Solanum lycopersicum: one gene and its partners. The main gene of each other region encodes a partner of the protein of the gene in region 2 in a complex. Links are inferred from orthologs where the notes say so. Each region holds a gene or a part of one and is shown on either strand. Other genes may lie near its edges.

Evidence for each region.
Region 1: sister chromatid cohesion 1 protein 2 (region 2) and sister chromatid cohesion 1 protein 3 share a complex: the UniProt entries of both Arabidopsis thaliana proteins name them as parts of the cohesin complex. The link is inferred for Solanum lycopersicum from reciprocal best matches to the Arabidopsis thaliana genes SYN2 and SYN3.
Region 3: sister chromatid cohesion 1 protein 2 (region 2) and sister chromatid cohesion 1 protein 1 share a complex: the UniProt entries of both Arabidopsis thaliana proteins name them as parts of the cohesin complex. The link is inferred for Solanum lycopersicum from reciprocal best matches to the Arabidopsis thaliana genes SYN2 and SYN1.

What each region holds. Positions count from the first base shown.
Region 1 is NC_090800.1:77,428,460-77,432,610, reverse strand, and holds the start of sister chromatid cohesion 1 protein 3, read left to right. Parts: upstream 1-1,221; 5' UTR 1,222-1,448; coding exon 1,449-1,572; intron 1,573-3,491; coding exon 3,492-3,753; intron 3,754-3,826; coding exon 3,827-3,873; intron 3,874-3,966; coding exon 3,967-4,016; intron 4,017-4,109; coding exon 4,110-4,151. UniProt on the Arabidopsis thaliana protein: May be involved in sister chromatid cohesion during mitosis.
Region 2 is NC_090801.1:70,969,784-70,973,926, reverse strand, and holds the start of sister chromatid cohesion 1 protein 2, read left to right. Parts: upstream 1-1,237; 5' UTR 1,238-1,613; coding exon 1,614-1,737; intron 1,738-2,220; exon of another isoform or gene 2,221-2,505; intron 2,506-3,111; coding exon 3,112-3,397; intron 3,398-3,539; coding exon 3,540-3,577; intron 3,578-3,674; coding exon 3,675-3,712; intron 3,713-4,143. UniProt on the Arabidopsis thaliana protein: May be involved in sister chromatid cohesion during mitosis.
Region 3 is NC_090805.1:48,875,351-48,879,574, forward strand, and holds the start of sister chromatid cohesion 1 protein 1, read left to right. Parts: upstream 1-1,381; 5' UTR 1,382-1,813; coding exon 1,814-1,866; intron 1,867-2,437; coding exon 2,438-2,506; intron 2,507-2,594; coding exon 2,595-2,653; intron 2,654-2,728; coding exon 2,729-2,773; intron 2,774-2,897; coding exon 2,898-2,917; intron 2,918-3,008; coding exon 3,009-3,085; intron 3,086-3,461; coding exon 3,462-3,582; intron 3,583-3,988; coding exon 3,989-4,058; intron 4,059-4,206; coding exon 4,207-4,224. UniProt on the Arabidopsis thaliana protein: Involved in chromosome condensation, pairing and segregation during meiosis. Responsible for cohesion between replicated sister chromatids.

The DNA of each region.
Region 1 (4,151 bases), on a different chromosome or scaffold from region 2:
ATATATCATGATGATATATTTTTACTCAAATCATATCCGAATACAAAGTAATGATCACATCATAATAACAGATACAAAATTATGATACATGCAGGTCATTTACCACTAATACATCAACAAATACGTAAATCATATATGACATCTTACAAATCACATTGATTATATCTCATATAAATTGTTACATAGATGATAGAACACACAATTATGTATTATAACTTTAATATTCCCACGTTCCTTTTTTTTCCTTCGTAGGAAGTAAAAAAATCCACTAATATTCACCTTTATTTGGGGAACTTTCGCAAAAAACTACTATAATAAACTTAATTATGTTGTCTGGTTTGCAGTCTATTACACAATGAGGGTTTACATAGTGCGCACAAAGTGCTCACACGAAGGCTAGAGCCTATGACAAAGGTTGCAACAATTGCGGGTTATCTTGGGGTTAAAAAAAAATAATTATGCTTCATAGCTATAATTTACATATTTACGAGTTGTAGCTATAAGATTGTATAATTTGGAGGTATGTTTTTTAAATCGAGCTATTTTTGTATAAATTCAAAATAACAAATTTATACAAATACAAACATTTGAACTTTAAACAAATATACAAATTATATTATATAAAAGTTATAAAAAAATTGATTTCATACAAACTCGAAACCCCACCCCATGTAACTATTACTGAATATTGGACACAAGTGATAATTAACTAGAACTAAAGTCATAATAACTAATTAACCAATATATATTTGTTTGATCACACAATTCTTTCTAATCTAAACAGTGTCATTTAATTAAGAGAAAATACATAAATTTACCCTCACATTTATATATTTTACTACCAAATTTATATATTTTATGGTGGCAACAATAGTGATTTCATGGTGGTGTTCATCAAAGAAGAAACAATTGTTATATGGAGGATTTTAGTTAAATTTTGCCATGACATTTGATATGGCAGCGATATAACACTGATGTGATCCAAGTGTGATACATTTTTGAGAGTAGTACTATACGTCTCATAGATAAAAAAGTTCATTATTTAGTAGCAGAGGTATATAATAATTTAAAAGTGTAACTTACTTTTCGAAACAAATTCAAATGTGAATTTATATCATTTTACCCTTTTAATTAACGCGATTAAACAGAAGTGGCATCTGCGTAAATAACCAAAACCAGTCGGCCCTTTTAAGGAAACACAAAGCGTCAAGTTATTTTATTGCCGCATTGGCGCCACTTTCTCCCGCGGTTTCTGTCTCAGAACCTCAAAAATTTCGAACATAAAACCCCAATTAACTATACACACAGAACTGAGGAGCCGAAGAGAATTAGGTCATTGGAGAATCCTCTGAACTGAAAAGGGTCGCCGCCGTTCGCCGCCAATCACCATTAATCGCCGCCAATCGCCATCAATCGCCGTTCTTGGTTGTTAATTTGTTGACGGAGAAATGTTTTATTCGCACACATTCTTGGCTCGGAAGGGTCCATTAGGGACTGTATGGTGCGCTGCACACTTGCAACACAAGTTGAAGAAGCCTCATTATACTTCTACTAACATTCCATCTACTGTTGGTAGGTTTTCTAATGTCTTTTTTTTTTCTTGAAAAAAAGGGTCCCTTTTTATTTGCCCCATTGCCAAGATTTATATTTTATTTCAATGGATTGCTTTTTTTTTTGTTTTGTTTCTTTCTTGGGATTTGAAAAAAGAAAAAAAATGATTTTGCTAATTTCGCTTGGTTGACATACGATTCTTGTTTTGCTGTTAGTTGGGGGTTTCGTGAGATAAAGATTTGCTCTTGTGAATCTTTTTAATTCAGCTTGGAAGTTTTTATATAAGTATTTGTACTTCAAGATTTTCTCTCTGTTATAGTAATGCTAGTTAAAGGGTTAGATTGAAATGTTTTTTTTTTTAATTCGAGTCATTGTTGCTGAGTGTTGATTGAATGTAATTTTATGTATCTAATGTTATTTTTGTTGCTTGATAATTAGTTTATTATTCAGTTCTTGTTTTGCTGATATCAATTAGGATCTTTCTGTGAGATGAAGATTTATTTTTTTACATTAAAGATTGCATTTTTGATTGAAGTATTGAAATTTGGTTTGATACGGAGGTTTTTATCATTTGCAAAGATGAATTGATTTCTAATTTAGTGGAGACATTTTCTTCTGTTCTAATCATGATAGTTGAACTCTTGGACTAGTCTGTGCTTATGTACAATGTATTGTCACCTGTGTTAGTTATTCATTGATCATTTTAAGGAGGTCAAAAAATGAGGAACTTTCATTCTTGAAATTTAAGCGGTAAAATTGTCTGAAGATATGCATGTCCCATACATATGATAATGATTGAATAGGGGGAAGGAGGACATGATGGGCTGTTTTTTAGCTGTGAAAAAAATTAATATATTGAAGGAGACTGGACTACTTTAACTCTAAGCATAAAAAATTGGAACTTGAACTTAGACACTACATCAACTCTTAAGTTCTTAGGTAAGAAGGAGAGAACAAATTTGTTCATCACACAAATAAAATAAGGTCCATTGGAATCTTTTGTATGATAAAAGTGAACTCTGAATCTTTCTCTTGAAAGAGATTAAAGATTTGAAGTTTAGATGATTCTACCCATGACTTTATTTGGGGAAAGGATCCAATTTGCTTCTAAATTATTTGAAATGTAACTGTGTTCTTTGTTTCGTGTTGGGCACAAAAATGCCTTTATCAATAACCGAATAGCTCAAAAATTGGCCCGTTTCCATTTCTCGATAAGTGATAGAATATAATAAAGATAAGATGGCATTTATAGGGAAGCTTTCAGGGTGTAACGGGAAGGGGTTGGACAAGTCAAGTACATAAGTATGTTCTTAGAATTTGAACATAATGCAAATAACAATACCAATCATTAAAACAATTTTTTGCTTGATATTGACTGAGCTATAGAGAAAGAAAGACGTAATTGTCCCATTTCATATAGTTTAGGGCTCAATTAGCCCTTTTTCCATTTGAGCTAAAGCAATAGTTAGTGGGAGGTTATTTTTGAGCTACTTGGCTAACTATGAGGACATTTTTTAGCTACTTGATTGACGATAAGGGTATTTTTGTGCCAAAACTAACGGAGGGCAAAGAGGATCCCCTTTTGAATCATTTAGGGGCAAGATGGGATTTTTCTTTACCTTTTTATTATGTCATATTATTTAGGAATGTTGCAGATTTATCTTATGCTGGACACTAAATCTTGAACATATTTAACCTTAAACTTTCAGTGGTACAAATGATGTGTTTTTTCTGGTATATGCCAAATGTACTTTGTTTTAATTAGTTAGTCTTTGATGCTTTCTTGGGTACTCCGTGGAACAATCAAGGTGCGTATAAGCCAGAAAGGATGTATAAGTTGCTCTACACAAGTACATAGCAGTAGCTTTGATATGCATATGATGTTTTTTTTTTTGCTGATGATACTGTTCCTTTTTTTTTTTTTTGAAATCTATTTGTAGAGCGCATCATGACTCCTGAAGTACCTATTGCACTGCGAACATCTGGCCATCTTCTACTTGGAGTTGTTCGGATATACTCGAAGCAGGTTGAATACTTTTCCGAGGACTGCAAAACACTACTAATGGGAGTTATAAAGGCCTTCTCGTCTACAAATGTCAATCTCCCAGAAGATGCCACTCATGCACCATACAGCTCCATCACTTTACCAGAAACATTTGAACTTGATGCCGTCGTTTTTGATGAAGATCTTGACCTGAATAGGTAAGTATCTGTAGTACTTTTTTAGTTGTCATCTTGAATCTGTAGTTAGTTATACGTGCATTTGGAATTCCAGGATTAAGGATACTCATGTTAAAAGTTACGAAGAGATAACTTTGGAAGGTATGTATCATGTTTACTTTAACTCTTCTTTTTTGTATCTTTTTCTGTTTCATTTTCAATTGAACTTTCATTTCTGAAATTTTCCATGTATAGATCAAGTTGTATCGCATGAAGATCAGTATGTTGCTATTTTCATTGATGAGGTGGGTAAATCTTTTGCTTCATAATTAGCAGCGAAGTTTCGATTTATTCACTTAAGTTGCAACACTAGTTTGACAAAGAGTTTGTTTTTACAGGACATAGTGAAGAGTTTGTCAAAATCAGGTGAAGTTTCTGGA
Region 2 (4,143 bases):
TTTTTTATTAGTACGGGATTCAATTGGAACAAGCCTAAGAAGAGGTGTTTAAGTGAAATTTGCAGACAACTTTAAGTGGTTATCGATGACTTAAGCCATTTAAATATGACCATCATTATTATCTAAAATGATTTTCTTCCAAATATTGTAGCTAGCTAGGTATGATATGAAACCGGAAAAACTGAGTTCTTATAAAGTAAACAGAATAAATTTAACGACAGAGACATAAATGCACCTTTTCAATGATCAATTTATATAATTAACATAATTAAGTGAAATGACAAAGAAAGGAAGAAGAAAATTTTCATCTCACTTACCCAAAGTATGTAAATCAGTGAAAACGCGTTGAATTCCTTCAATAATTGCCTATAAATCAAATATCAAAAGAGAATTTATCAAAACATGAACATGTATTAGCTACTTACTATGTTTATTAGAAGGTTAACATTGTGAAAAGATGAATTTTAACCTCCGCAAAGATAATGAAAGTGATTATTGATCAACTAATGTATTTAGAGTGAAATGAAAGATTTATTTGATAGTTGTGCATTTCTCTCATAAAGTCATAATCAATACCGTACAACTCTTCATTCGCCCTCTTTAATAATAGAAGTGAACAATTATAGGTAATGGGAGAGTAATTTAGATTAGGAAGAAAATCAAAAGCCAAAAAACTTATGAAACAATATGATATAGTTATTATTTAATATTTAATTTATTAATAGTTTATAACATTTTAATTAAATATAGGAGTAAAACGGTAATTTGATTTTTTCCTAATATTTTTTTAATTTATAATAAAGATAAAATCGTAACCTTAACTTTTAATTTTTTTTATTCCCAGTTATAATAATATATGATATGATAGATAAAATTACATTAACCAAATGATAACATTAAAATAATAATTGGTTAATGATTCTGGAAAAGCATTAGGAATTGACAATGGCCGTGGGTGATAGGGGTGTGTCGAAATGACACGTATTGCACTCAAAGTACATACACAAGTTACCGTTTGTGAGGAACCCCATAAAATCGATAAGAACAAACGTGTCTTTTAAAAAAAAAAACTTTTTTTACTGTAAATATATGAGACTACGGAAAAAAAAAAAGAATAACTTTTAATTGAATGCAAGAACAAACCATATTTGATTTGTCTCCAAATTTTAATTGCTTGTTCCTAAGCTAATAATATAAATAAATACGCTATTTCTAGAAAGTAGAAATCCTATTTTTTTTTTAATTACATTATTAAAAAAATGCTTCTACATCTACAGTCAGAAGCATGAAATATTAATTACTAGTTCCCAAGTATGCCTAATCAGTTACATGAGCTCTCAATAGAAAGTTATATTTATTTGGTCATTAGTGTTATTTTATGGTGAGATAGGGGTTTATTTGGTCGTACATTCCAAAAACGGAGAAACACATTTCGAAAATTAAAAAATTGTGAGACTTGTTTGACAATCCACTCCCTCTTCTCAAAGGGCTAGCAGTTGAATGCAGAGCCTACACTTTGGTTCATCTCATACATAGAAAAAATTTGTAAGTAGAGTGAGGCATTTTTGTCTCTCTCTTGTACAAAAACAAAGATAGGTAAAGAGAGAAAGAAGATGTTTTATTCACAGTTACTTCTTTCAAAGAAGGGGCCTTTAGGCACCATTTGGATTGCTGCTCATTGTCATAAACGTCTCAAGAAAGACCAAGTCCAGCAGACAAACATCGTTTCTTCTGTCGGTGCGTTTTCCGTTTTCCTGTTTTTTTGTTTACCCCTTTCTTCATCTTTGATGGAGACTTATTACAAGAACAAAAAGTAGTCTTTTTAATTAAGATGGTGTTTTTTTATCTTTCTTCTTCTCCTGTAAACGCTTTTCTCCTAACCTCTTTTCTATTTGTATTTATTTTCTTCATACATTAAGACAGAGTGAGAGGTTGTTTCTTTACCCTTTAGAGAACCCTGATTTCTAATTTAACCACAGTGTTATTTATTGGAATTTAGTGTTCTGTTGACTTACTAGTAAAAAGAGACGTGCTGCTGACATGAGTTTGGCGGATTTCTTTACATAGCTCTCGCATGCACAGTTCATATAGTTTATTTTTGTCCCAAATTGCAGCTACTAGTTACCTTTTGTCTCCATTGTGTTAGATGTCATCCCTACATCAACTATAGCCTTCTATTTTTCACATATAGTTGGATGGCTGAACAGTTGTGCTCAAATTGAGTGCTAAAACCATACATTTTTAAACTAGATTTTTCGTAAACCACTGCTTGTCAATCACATCGGAAAGTCGTTGGGTCATTAGAGACCTCTCTCGGCAAATAATTTTACCACAATGCCCCAATTAAGTACTACCACTTATAGGAATCTTCTTTCCTAGTAGAATGCCCCCCATGAGAAGAAAGAATATTGTGGTGCTCAGCTTCTCGTTGAACCTCGTGGGTAAACTAATGAATGGAAGAATGTGATTTGATCACAGAATAGAATCGGGGTTTTGGTCATGAAGGTGAAATAGGTTCATGTGTGACTGACATTTTTTTTTTTTTGGAAATTTCACTTAGTTTGCAACTTCTAGTGTTAGCTGTAACAAATGCTATAGTTGTAACATGGAATTCACAAGACTCAGTGTAAAATATTAATTACTTGGAAATTAGCATGTCTTCCGAGCCACGGAAAATGGTTTCTGGCTTTATGTTGGATTGTGAACCTTTGCTGCAAACTTGGGTGATTATAGGTGGTGTTAAATGCTGTCTCTGTGAATTCCCTGGATGATCTAGGTAACTGTTTTTGGCGGGGTTATCGGAAACCTCTCTGCCTCCGTAAGGTAGGGGTAAGGATGCATATGCACCATCCTTTGCAGACGCCACTTGTGGAATTACATCGGGCATGTTGTTGTTGTTTGCAATCTTGATTACGTTCACATGTTTATGAATTGCTGTGTATATACGTAATGAATGTGATTATTGTCTTGGGATCTTTTTTATTTCAGATTCTTGACACTGTTTGATTCTGTTTTTTTAATTGCAGCACGATGCACATAAAAGTAGCATTAAGAATTTTAATCATTTCTTGAGTGATTTAGATTTGCTTTACTGGTTTTTCCTTTGCTCAGAGAAAATTCTGCATGATGAAGCTCCTGTGGTCACATACAGAATTTTAGGTCACCTGCTCCTGGGTGTGGTTAGAATATATTCGAAAAAAGTGGAGTATCTTTTCAAAGACTGTAATAATGTTCTTGTTAACCTTGCTGATTTTTCAACTCGCAATAGACCAACTAGTAAACCATCAGTTGTAAGGATCGCGGGTATGCATGCTCCTGTCCACTCTATCACCCGACCAAAGAAATTTGAACTGGATACTTTTGATCTGGAAGTCTTGGAAGATCAAGACGCAAACAGGTAAAATAAATACTTTCCATGAATGACGTGGTTTTCCATGTTAATTTGTATGTTTTCCTTTCTCTTTCTCCTTGTGTTTTTTCTGATTGTCGGTTTGGGGTTTAATTATTTCAATCTTGGTTTGCAACAAACTGTTTTGAAGTAGTCATTTCGCATCCCGTGAAGAAATCACGCTTTCCGGTACAGTACATTTCTGTTGTCTTTTAATTCATGGTTACTTTTTTCGGCTTTATGTCACTTACTTTTTTTAAAAGAGAGTTTCTGCTTTTTGTTTCAGATGCTCAGGAAAATTTAGTTTTTGGCTCATCTTGCAAGGTAGTCATTTTATGAAGTATAATCATTTCTTTGGTTTGTTTTGTTAACAGCATGTCTCGGCCTTTGAAACTTTTCCAACAAAAGAAGGCAGCATAAATCACTTTCTGCTTTGTGTTCACTTAATACCACTATCACTGCTTAGCAAGATATACTACTGTTTTCCCTGAATATCTCATAGTTTATGTTAAACTCTTTGCTATATGTTGTTAGAACCTTAGGATTGGTGTAGCACATCGAATCAGTTGATTGATTTTAAATTATTATCTGCAAAGTGGTTAGTGGAATTTGTACTTGTCAAGATACATCATGGATTCACGAATTCACGTAACTGCTTTTCTTTGAACAAGTACTGGACAGTGTTAGTGGTGCTGTGTTTAATTTGAAGAAGTTATTTGATGGATCAAACTGGTTCAAGTTTCTGATGATACTTG
Region 3 (4,224 bases), on a different chromosome or scaffold from region 2:
TAGATTATAGATGATAAATATTAATAAATTATATTTAATTAGGAATTAATCTTAAAAAGTTTAAAAGTTATTAATATTTTAATTAAGCTTATACAATCAAATATTTAAATATTTTATAACAATTTAATTTATAAAAAGAATTATACTGAAAATAATATAATAATATAATAAATAAATAATAATAATAATATTATTATTTTCCTTTATTTTTATGAAGGATGGCTTTTTCGTGCTTTAGACTTTACTAACATTTTCATAGTCATGTTTAATGGGTTCTTTTCTGGTTCAGTGTAATCACTTCTAACTTTTTATTTGTAACAATTAAATTAGGCCTAAGTCATCTGCAGCCCCTTAAAGTTGTCCACATAATTCACTTAGACACCTGAACTAGGACTTATACCTATTGAACACCTAAATTATCAAGAAATGTGCCTATTAAACACAAAACGCTGATGTGACAAAATAAGTGTATTTCACTGCTGCTGAGCGCGTGAATACTTTTTTTTAATTTTTTTTAAAAATATTAATACCTACTTTGTTGACGCTTGGCATGCATTGACTAAATATATATAAAAAAATAATTTAATTAAACATAAATCTTTTAAATCATTAAAAAAAAAAAACCCCACACTCATCTTCCTTCAACCCACCATTTAAACTACCATCCATTCAATTCCCCCAAAATCCCTTATTTTTCCATCCAAAAACAACATGAAAAAATCACTTCTCTTAGCAGCCTCTGTTTCTGCTGCCCACCGCCACCGTCACTTCTGTATCCGAAGTTCGAAGTTCGAATTTCTCTTCACAAGGACGATAATTTGAAGAAAAATGAAGATTGTTCAAAATCGGTGAAAGCATCAACCCACCATTTTAAAAACTTCAAATTTCTCTGTCTTTTGTTATGATTCATTTTTTTTTTCATTTTATGTAAATAAAGTACCTGTTGAATTTTCAAGAAGAAGAAAAAATGGACCATTTGAGAAATAGCATATAACGAAGAAAATGAAAGAGGACAACATTTGGTGGATGAATTCGGAATGAGATGGGGTTAGGCATTTTTTTTTGTTATGAAAAGAAATGGTGATTGTGGAACAACAGAGAAGAAGAAGAGAAGAAGATGAAGAAAAAAGGGTAGTAAGTTAGATGGGGTGGGGGTTAGGGTGGGGAGAAAGATTTTTTTTTTTATCAATTTAATTTTTTATATATTATTAAAGGAAGGAAAATATTCTTTATCTTTTAAAATTAAAATTATGGGCCCATATGCCACGTGTCGTAGTTCTATTCGTAATTTTTGTCAAAATAAGGAGTGTGCATTACACGCACAATATTTGTAAAGATAATTATTATTTTATGTTTGATAGGTAAATATTTATTAATATTAAAATGTCTAATTGATAAGAGTCTCAGTTGAGGTGTCTAAATGAATTATGCGGACAACTTTAAGGGCTATCGATGATTGGGCCATTAAATTAAGCCTCTTGAACAAGAATAGTAGGGGACACGTGGAAGCCATTCAGGAACGATAGCACAAAAATTCCATTCACTTGAGCTGTGACTTGAGTTCATCAAACATTCATTCTGCAATAGGGTGCGGTCCCCACAATATACTCTGCAAAATGCAATCGCAATCGCTTCTGTTATGGCGGGTATACTCTACAGTATATACAGACGCACAGGCACAAAACACACACACTTTCACCTTTCTCACTTTGCATATGATCTCCCTCTCTCTCTCCAACTATATATACAAAACCTTCTAGCTTCAAGTACTCTGCAAAATCAGTGCTGAAATTTCCTTCTTCACGACGGCAATATGTTCTACTCTCATCAGCTTCTTGCTCGCAAAGCTCCGCTCGGCCAAATATGGTGAAAATTGTCGATTACTACTTGTCATTTCAATTTTTTCCTTTCGAAATTCGTTATGTTCATATGCATACGCTACATTTTTGGAGTTTCTGATTTTTTACTTGCATATGTTGTATATCCTGAGCTAGATTGTCGTTCTTCTTTGGTCGCTGGTTAATGATATTCAGTAGCTTCTTCAACCTATTTCTCGTAATCTGAAGTTATGAGTTATATGTTAAGTTGTCACTGTTAAAATTGGATCTGTTTCTGTTCAGAAAATGCTTGAATTCAAAATTGTTTTATGAAGGTATTGATCCAGTTTACTACGGCTTTTGTTTTGATTTTCTATTCTAAATTTGTTTAATACATATAGATAAGTTGCATGTTTTGTGTTTCTGCGTTTTTTAACTTTCATATATCGCAATCCCTGTAGTGGATCCTCTTTTCGTCATTTGCTTTCTGTGTCTAATGTTCTGTATTCGTTGAAGTTACTTCATAGGATTTTGTGTATATGTTAAGTTCTCATATTTCAATTTGGCTACGAAGAATGCTTAAATTGAAATTGTTTATGATCTTTCTCTTTGCTGTGAAGGATGGCGGCCACTCTGCACTCAAAACTCAATAGGAAAAAGCTTAGTAAACTCAATATTATTAACATCTGGTGAGGCGTTTTCTTCTACTACTACGTTGAAATGCCTTAATTCCTTGTTGATTTTGAGTATTCGTCTTCTGCAATTTCTTTTGTCAAGTGAACAAATCTTAAATCCATCAGTCCCGATGGCTCTGAGGCTTTCTGGAATTCTCATGGGTATGCTTCGAAAACCACTGACTGTCCGCAATTGCTGCTTTTGATTTAGATATCTAATCGACAGTTCTGTTTCAGGTGGAGTAGTCATTGTTTACGAACACAAAGTGAAACTCCTATACGGTATGAATTGCCATGATGACTTCATCATTTCAATTTGAATTTCACGTTAATTCTTTGAATTCTACTCCTACTTTACCCTTCCTTATTTCTTCATTTTTTTTTCTTTATGTTTTCTTTAATGCAGAGGATGTGACTCGTCTCATGGTAGTAACATTTGTCTTCGATCCTAATCAAATTAATCTCTTTCTTTGCTCTGTTTTCATTAAATTCCGCATTTATGATTGGGTACTTTCAGGTGCAAATCAATGAAGCTTGGAAAGTCAAAGCAGCTACCGATCCTACGTTACTTCCCAAGGGTAAATCGCAAGCCAAGTGAGTAACTCATCTCCAATTCGACGTCACAGTATTTTGCCGAGAAGCAGAGATTGTAAGGCCGACTTTTAACAACTTCTAATACTTTCAGTTACCTCAATAGTGCTTCAGTAAATTAACAACTAAAGTATGACTGCCACCAATTAGTTGAAATGATTAACTCAATTTATTATGATTTCTTTCACTCAATGTTTGGGTCAGTTTCATCAATGAGTTATTTAAGGCCTGCTTATGCTGTGAGTCCTTTATACCTAAGGTCTTTGTACTTAAAAATACCTAGTTTAGCGATGAATTGGTTGTAAACATTAAATTCTGATTCCTGTGATTGTTTTTCCTAATGTTGATGAATTTTCATTCCTCATTTCAATTCCTGTAGGTATGCAGCTATTACTCTGCCAGAGAATCGGGAGGAAGAACTCCCAGAGATTGAACAGACATTACGGAATCCAGACACAGTCACAATGATGGATTTCGAACAAACCTCCTATTTCACGATGGTACATTATGGAAAGCTCTGTCACCTCCTCAATCCACGAAATAACTTCAAAAGCAGAAACAAAAATTGTTAGGAAAATTAGGAATTTGTTCGAACTGATCTAATTAAAACTATTGAGCTTGCTTTAGATTGTTAAATAAGTCATATTTCATTATTCAGCAAGTCTGCAAGCTCAACAATAGAAAGTTAACAATGATAAAGTTGTTTGATTTCCCTTCGCCTTTTGGTTACTCTATATGTTTTGTAGCTTGTTCTATGTTATTTCCACTCTTGGGTTTTCTCAGTGTTCATGACCTTGTTGAGTAGGCAATCTTATCTGATACCACTTGGATAAGAGCAGGAAATCTTAGTGAAAATCAGATCACTACATGAGAGTGCAGCTAAACTTGCGGATGTTCAATGTGCAGAGACTAGATAATGCTGATCTCTATGATAAACCCAATGCACAGGAGGAACCTGCTAAGGACTTGCATCAAGGTACACCTAGATCCCACAATCAGCATAGATTATGCTACTTTCACCATCACAATAGAATATATAACTATATCCTAGTCAATGCTACTTTGTTTTCCAGTTTTGTCTTGTTGTGCCCATCTCTAAAACAATCCTGAAACCCTTGTTGCAGTTGATCCAGATAATATCA